2 linked regions of the Coturnix japonica genome follow. The protein of the gene in region 1 purifies or fractionates together with the protein of each later gene. This does not show direct contact. Links are inferred from orthologs where the notes say so. Each region holds a gene or a part of one and is shown on either strand. Other genes may lie near its edges. The genes, in order: USP48 and UBA6.

Evidence for each region.
Region 2: the proteins of USP48 (region 1) and UBA6 fractionate together in Homo sapiens (co-fractionation; 3 studies listed by BioGRID, with this or other methods). This does not show direct contact. The link is inferred for Coturnix japonica from reciprocal best matches to the Homo sapiens genes USP48 and UBA6.

The regions. Positions count from the first base shown.
Region 1 is NC_029536.1:5,719,024-5,722,835, forward strand, and holds part of USP48 (ubiquitin carboxyl-terminal hydrolase 48), read left to right. Parts: intron 1-1,189; coding exon 1,190-1,314; intron 1,315-1,621; coding exon 1,622-1,730; intron 1,731-2,952; coding exon 2,953-3,086; intron 3,087-3,318; coding exon 3,319-3,401; intron 3,402-3,669; coding exon 3,670-3,812.
Region 2 is NC_029519.1:46,080,969-46,084,780, reverse strand, and holds part of UBA6 (ubiquitin-like modifier-activating enzyme 6), read left to right. Parts: intron 1-515; coding exon 516-578; intron 579-1,551; coding exon 1,552-1,628; intron 1,629-2,279; coding exon 2,280-2,346; intron 2,347-2,658; coding exon 2,659-2,802; intron 2,803-3,328; coding exon 3,329-3,396; intron 3,397-3,657; coding exon 3,658-3,736; intron 3,737-3,812. UniProt on the Homo sapiens protein: Activates ubiquitin by first adenylating its C-terminal glycine residue with ATP, and thereafter linking this residue to the side chain of a cysteine residue in E1, yielding a ubiquitin-E1 thioester and free AMP.

The sequences.
Region 1 (3,812 bases):
TCCTATGGGAAGGGGGGGGGTGAGGGGGGGAAGAGGGGGAGCTGAGACCCCAACGGGATGAGAGCTGTCTGAGGTCCTGCATGAGGCTGTGAGCAGAGAACTTGCTTTTGGGAATGGTGAGCACTACGTGGGGCTGTTGCAGAAGCTGAAGGGGGCTGTAGAGAAGAACCGAGCTTGAAAATGAGCTTTGAGTAGTAAGGGAGAACAGCTGGAATCAGAGCCAGAGTGCAGGTATGCAGTGCCAGGAGAGGATGAGGGAGGGGAATGTCGCTCCTCATCCCTGGGAAGGAAGTGTCTGTTAGTGACTGGTGAGGTTAAAGGCTGGCCAAGTGCCATGTGCCATTGTGACAATGGTAGGAACCAGAGAGAGGAGCTGTGGGACCACAGCAGGCACAGCACTGAGAGGAGAGCTGAGGCCTGGGCAGGCGAGCAAGGTGAAAGCTAGCTTGTTTTCTGGAGGAGAGAACAGTGCAGGGCTGTGGAAGTAAGGAGAAGGGAGGCAGCCCAGAAGGCAGAGAGCCATCTCAGGGGAGAGGGCTGCCCTGTGGTGCGTGGAGCAGCTCCCATGCCTTGCAGGAGGAAGGGAGCAAAGCCACAGTGCAGCTTCTCAGTTTTATTCTTCCTCCCGTGTCACTCGATGCAGGTAGTTTGTGTTGTGTGCTGGGGCTTTGACTAATGAGCGCTAACAGGGTAGAAATCTCTGCAGGAATGGTGGGCTGGAGAGATTAACTTCCACCCAGCCGTGCTGGGGCAGGGGATGATTAATGCTCTGCGAGCTGCTCCTGCATCCTTTTCAGAGCTGCTGTGATCTAGCAGGGCAGAGCAGCATGGCTGGGCAGCAGGAGCTGATGTCTGCACGCCAGGTGGAGCACGAAGGGATTGAGGCGGTTAACAAGCTGCTGTTTTCCATCCAGAACCCCTGCGAGCAGCGGGGCAGAAGTCAAAGCCACCCGGAGCTGCTGGCCCAGAGCCAGCCTCACTCCTGCTGTGCTCTCACGCTGGGGGCCTTGTGCTCCGTTTAGGCAAATTCCTCTTTTCTTTAGTTCTCCAGCCTGGTCTCTTTCTATGCAGGGCACGCTGGAGTCTCTGCGCAGGCTGTGTGTAGGGCTCTGTGTAATTGGCAGTAAATTAGCAGTGATTGTGCTTTGTGCCTCGGCGTATTGTTAAAAGCTTTGGCTTTCTGTTTCAGGATGCCCAGGAATTTTCCAAGCTGTTCATGTCGCTGCTGGAAGATACTTTATCCAAACAAAAAAATCCAGATGTTCGAAACATTGTTCAGAAGCAGTTCTGTGGGGAGTACGCCTATGTCACAGTGTAAGTGTGTGGTCTTTGGGAAGAAAGATTTACACATTTCAGGAGGATATGAGGGGAAATTTCCCACCTAGCAGCTGGAGCAGGCAGGTGAGCTGCTGAAATGCTGTGCTGGAGGTTTCTGGAGTAGTAAGCAGGTGCTCCATGGTTTCCTGGTAGGTGCTGTTATCCTGCACACGCTGTCCTGCATTGTTGTGACGTAGCACATTAGCTGTTACATAGCTACAGGGGGAGGGTTACTAGTGGCTGAGGAATTACAGCTCATTGCCTGGTGAACTTGTCTCACGCATTTGTGTTTTCTTTATTCTAGTTGCAACCAGTGCGGTAGGGAGTCCAAACTCGTGTCTAAGTTTTATGAGCTGGAGTTAAATATCCAAGGGCACAAGCAGCTGACAGACTGCATAACAGAGTTTCTCAAGGTACGGTCTGATTGGTTTGTGAGCTGTGCTGTCCTTAGTGAGGTGTTCTGTTCCCTTCATCAACCAGCAGCTTCTGAGGTCGGTGTGGGCTGCTGGAGCTGAGCTGCCTCATTGAGATGAATGCAAAAGGAAATGCTTTTCTGTAAACCCGGAAAAACAACCCAGTCATGAGTCATGCACTCCACAGGGGAGGGAGAAGTGGCTCTGGGCAGGATTGCTGCACATGCGCATGTAACAGCTTTCAAAAGCACTTGGAAGGTGTGTTTAGTTGTAATGCCTTCCCAGGAAAGCTGGGAAAGCCCCGGAGGCCTGAGTAAAAGTGTCTGAATGCTTTGTCGTGGATAGCACTGGGAGAATGGCTGCTTTTTGTGTTTTCCATACCGGTGCTCATCTGCATAGCAACGGGAGGCATTTCCTGCTCTAAAACCTGCTCTCAAAAATACTAGCAAGGCCCTGGAATAGCTGAGGGAACAGCTGCAAGTGCTTGTTTGTGACTTGAAAACCTGCTGGAATCCAAAGTTGCAGCCCTGGTAAAGGCTGGAAGCGTGAGTGTAGAGCTAACCTGCCGTGCGAGCTGGTTGCTTTGCTCCTGGAGTGTGTGCTGGGAAAAATGGCAGCTCTGTGTGCACACGAAGGGGCAGCTGCATGCAGACAGCAGTGCTGCTGCCCTGATACTGGTAGCTTCCAACTGTGTGTTTCTCCTCTGAATGAAAAGGTTGGAGTTGGAGTTCTCAGGCCTAATCCTGTCACTGGTGCTACCCAAGCTCAGACTCTCCTTTCCCTGGCTGATGTGTGTTTTGCTGAGCCCAAAGGACTGTGATTTACAGGCTAAAATGTGACTGTACATTAACTTAGTCTGCGTGATCACATAAAAGGGCAGTTCCTTTTTCTCCTTAGCCCTAGTGGTATTAAACCAACTTGGTGCACTTTGGTCAAGTGGAGAGCAAACTTGGCAGCCTTCTAAGCAGCCTGAGGTCTGGCTTGACATTTGAAGTGACAGCACAGTCATAGCAGACTGCTGTAAAGTGCCATTATTAGCCCAGAGGATTGCAGATTTCCAACCTGTAGATTATTTTGGAAGGCAGCTGGGCAGAGACTTCAATGGTTAAAATATTTTCAGTGCTTTCCAGTCTCCGGTGGGTGGCTTGGGTAGAGGGGCTGACTGCAGGGTAACCTGTTCTCAAGATCTTTCTTTCTGCCCCCCCTCCCCTCCCCTGGTCAGGAAGAAAAATTAGAAGGGGACAATCGTTATTTTTGCGAAACTTGTCAGAGTAAGCAGAATGCCACAAGGAAGATCAGGCTGCTAAGTCTTCCATGCACACTCAACTTGCAGCTGATGCGTTTCGTGTTTGACAGGTAAGCCTCTCGCTGGAGTGCGTGCTGTAAAAGCAGGAGTGCCTTGGGTGCTTGGAAGCCCTTTGGAAAGCCATCTGCTCTGCTCTTTCCACATTGGTTTGAGATGTTGAGAATTGAATGCGTGCATGAGCTTCTCTTGGGATGCTCGGTGGGCTTCAAGGAAAGTTACTGTGAGATGTGAACTATTGGTGCTGTCCCCTGAACTGAAGCTTGGCCATTTGCCTTCGCACAGACAAACTGGCCATAAGAAAAAGCTGAACACCTACATTGGCTTCTCCGAGCTGCTTGACATGGAACCTTTTATGGAAAAAAAAAGTGAGTAGCACCCTGTGGTAGTTGGCAGTTACCACTCAACAAACGAGAGGAGGTCTTGTCTGAATCTGCTCATGGTTGTCCAGAGCTGTTGGAAGCCGGAGCAGCAGCTGTCTGTGCCCAGCTGGGCAGGATGCAGGAGCTCTAACTAGCAATGTGAAGAGGGCTTGGGGAGATGGGCAGCTAGGTGTTGCCTTTGCATGCTGCCCTGCAGAAAGCTGAAGTGCTAGGAAAGAAAGCAGGAGCTGAATAACCACTGTTTTCCTTCCAGATGGTGTCTATGTGTATGAACTGAGTGCTGTGCTCATACACCGAGGTGTGAGTGCGTACTCGGGGCACTACATTGCCCACGTGAAAGACCCACAGACAGGAGAGTGGTACAAATTCAATGATGAAGACATTGAGAAGATGGAG
Region 2 (3,812 bases), on another chromosome or scaffold:
GGTTTCTTGTCTGCCTTCTGAGAACAAGTGATGAGCTTGTGTAAAAGGGTTTGCAAGCTATATGGTGTTGTGTGCCATTTTGGGCCCGCAGAAAGTTGAACCTGGTGGCACTTAAATGTCTTGCAAGGGAGCTGGAAGTGAGGACCAGCTGCAGCTGATATGAGAACGACCAGCTCAGGGCTGTATCCTGTCTCTGCAAAGCAGTGGCTTTCTGTTTGTGGTGAGTTGTGAAGATATAAATGCCCACAACCAGTTGCTTGTAAAATATCCAATAGGTGACCACAGAGCAGTTGGAGAAATGGGTCTTGCCACTGTGATGTGAAACATCCATTGCACTTTTGACTGACAAAGCTTTCAGTTTTATTTTGTGCATCTTTTCTCATCATAGTTATGAAGAGAGTAGTATAAATGCTAAGAAGAATGTCAGTCTGTTCAGGAAGCATATTGGTTTTCTCAAGAAGGGGCAATTGTTGTATTAAGTGCCTGTGTTACTTTAATGAATTCTGTTTTTCCAGGAACGGTTGGAGAAGCAGCTAACAAATCCAACGTGCCTAGTTGCAGATTTTATCAAGCCTGAGGTAATAAAGTGTGGAGATCTGAGTGTCAGTGTTGTAAGCTTGAAACTACACGGAATATAATCTGCACCTTTAAGTGTGTAGCAATAAACCTTTCCAATTTCTGCAGTTGTTAAATGTGAGTTTAGAGGATGAAATGGGAGTAGGGCAGATTGTGTGCTCACACCAAACATGCACTATGAGTTAGGTTTCTGGAGAAATTTATTTGTTAATTGTGCAAATTATATTGTAAACTCATAGCCATCTCTCTGTAAATCTGTTTAAAATATCAGTTTTCGATGAATGGATGGCAGTATAAATGCTTAAAAGAAACAGTGTCTTTTCTTTGATGAGCTTTGATTAAAAATAAATACAAAGGATTCAGAGCCAAGGCAGTATAGAAAAAATAACAGCAGTTGAGTGTGGGAACAATTTCTCTTTCCTTTGTAAAAAGATTTACTGGTATTTATAATCCAAGAGGAAGCTGCCTGTATCTGCCTCCAACACAATTTTATTGAAGTATTGGTAATATTTAAAAGAATGGCAGCCATGTACTCATTAAGCTGAGTAACTAAAAAAATGTTCATCTCTGGATTTGTTTGTTTGAGGATGTGAAATCTAACTTGTCTGCTCAGATTTTCTGATGTTGGCCATTAATACTGGGCTCTGGTACTCAGACTTGGCATAATGCAGTGTGTTCTAATGTCTAATTAAAAGAAAATTGTGTGGTTTTTTTTTATGATTTCAGCACTAAATTCTTTTTGGGGACTCTAGTTGGACTTGGGTGAAGTGGGTACTCAACAAGGTGTATTACATTACTCCTGAGCAGTGTTTCATAAGCTGAAATCCATTTTCTAAAACCGCTAGCAGAAGATGTTTCAAGTTGGCATTTAATGCTACTTAACATTTTTAGAGCTGAACAGTTTGTATTAACGGTTGCTTTTATCTCCTTCAGTTTGAGTATGTTCACATCAACAGCTGTTGTTGTCTTTAACAGGCACCTTTGCAAACCCATATTGCCATGCTCGCATTGAACCACTTTGAGGAGAAATTTGGTCGCATGCCGAACATTGGGTAATGCAGCAATCTTATGTTTGCTAAGCCTTGAACCAGGCACATCTCTACTGTGGCTTGATGTGCAGCGGGGTTTCTTGCCTATCTGGTGCTTAGGTGACATAGAAATTAAAAGTTGAAATCTAGGTGCAGAATGTTACCTAATACCTGCCTAATTTTGTAGCTGGGCTTTCTCAGTGTAGCAGTGGCAAGTTCTAGGCCTAGGTTTACAGAAAGTGTAAATGCTTCCTTCTGAAGGCGGTTCTTTGTTCCAGTTTCTTCACATGGAGGGGTTTAATGGGAGAAGTTGTTTGATGATTCCTGAATTATCTGTCAGTTTGTGGATTTAAAAAGACAAAAAAATCAAAGCTTGGGAAGGCTCTGTTTTTTTTCATTAGTAGTAATTTGTTTCAGCTGTCGTTTATGTGGATACCTCTGAGTCCAATGAGATGAAACTACTGTGTAAATCACCTGACTTACACATGCGCTTCTCCACTGAGGCTCTTACTCTTGAGCTGTTCTTAACGTTTAAAGAGTTTCTTTAATACTAAAGCCAGTACAGATTTCCAGAATCTTCCTTCTCTATCCAGCAATTCTTTCTCAATTGGTTTTGTTTTTAGAAGGACTCAAGAATGCTTAAGTGGCCATTATTGTTTTTACCCTTGTGTCTAGATGCCATCAAGATGCTGAGGAAATGCTGAAAATAGCCATGTCTCTAAGTGAAACCCTGGAAAACAAAGTGAGTAGCAAATAGGGATCATGAGTAATTTCTAATATAATTGGTTGCCTGAAGGCCGTGCTTTAGGTTTTGGCTCTTGTTCTGATCTTTGTATGCATCTTTAGATGAATTTGGTGATTTTTCTGAAGGCCACGCAAGAAATGTGACTTGATCAGTTGGAGATATATATATATGTGTGTGTATGTATATGTATGTGTATATATATATACACACATACATGTGTGTATATACATGTGTATATATATATGTATATGTATGTATGTGTGTATATATATATATATACACACATTATTGCTTTGTTCTATTTTTAAGCCTCAGGTAAATGGAGATATAGTGAAGTGGCTGTCCAGAACTGCTCAGGGATTTCTAGCTCCTCTGGCAGCAGCAGTGGGTGGTGTTGCCAGCCAGGAAGTCCTGAAAGCAGTTACAGGAAAATTTTCTCCACTGCAGCAATGGGTAAGGCCTTTTTTCTTCTGTACCTTTATTTTAACAGTGATGTGGTGAAGTGTGGTTGTGTTGTGAGTGCTGAACAACTTGTGTAACGGGGGAAAGAAAAAGGACTTGAGACTGAACTTAGAAACATGTGGTGGTCTTGCGCATAATGTAAAAGAGCAGGCAGTTTTAGCTTAAGCTTTTCTATTTGGGATTGGGACATCATACTCAGTGTGATCTTGCCAAATACCATCTTAAGCACAAGAGCAGTGCTTTCAGGACTCGCAGGGCAAATGTCAGAATAAAGTTAAAAGTGTCACAGTCCCTTTCAGAGGATCACACAATCATCTGATTACAAACGTCACAATCCAAGTGATAAGGCTGTGGCTCAGATTTCAGTGGCTTCCAGGCATTCCTGTCTGTGAAAATTGTGTGGTGAACTATAATGAGCTATAACAAGATTTCTAGACTTGACTGTATGCTTAAATGTTTACGTTTTTTTAAACAAAACATGACTGTTTTTCACAGTTCTTTATTTTTTGTCTTACAGTTATATATAGATATGTTAGACATGGTTACACCTCTAGAAAAGATGGGCTCTGAAGAATTTCTTCCACGGTAATTATCAATACAGTCTGCTTTTTTATGTACTGTTTCTCAAGTAAGCGTAGATGTCTTTTAAAGTTAGTTTAGTAATGCTTTTTGGAGGGAGAGAAGTTTGGGCTTAAAAGTGCACATCCTGTTTGAGAATGGGAGGAATAGGGACTGCAGGGGACTTGGTCGTTTTATTTGCATCAAAGTAGAATTCCATAACGATGATGCCCCCATGGAAAAAAATAACTTGCTACTCTTCTGTTTTTGTTTCCTGCCTCTCTTAAGGGGAGATAGGTATGATGCCTTGAGGGCTTGTATTGGAGAATCTCTGTGCCAGAAGCTGCATGATTTGAATGTTTTCTTGGTGAGTACAACTGATACTTAAGGTTTTTGCAAATACTTTGCAAACACAACTGACATCACCTGTCTTGAAGATAAGA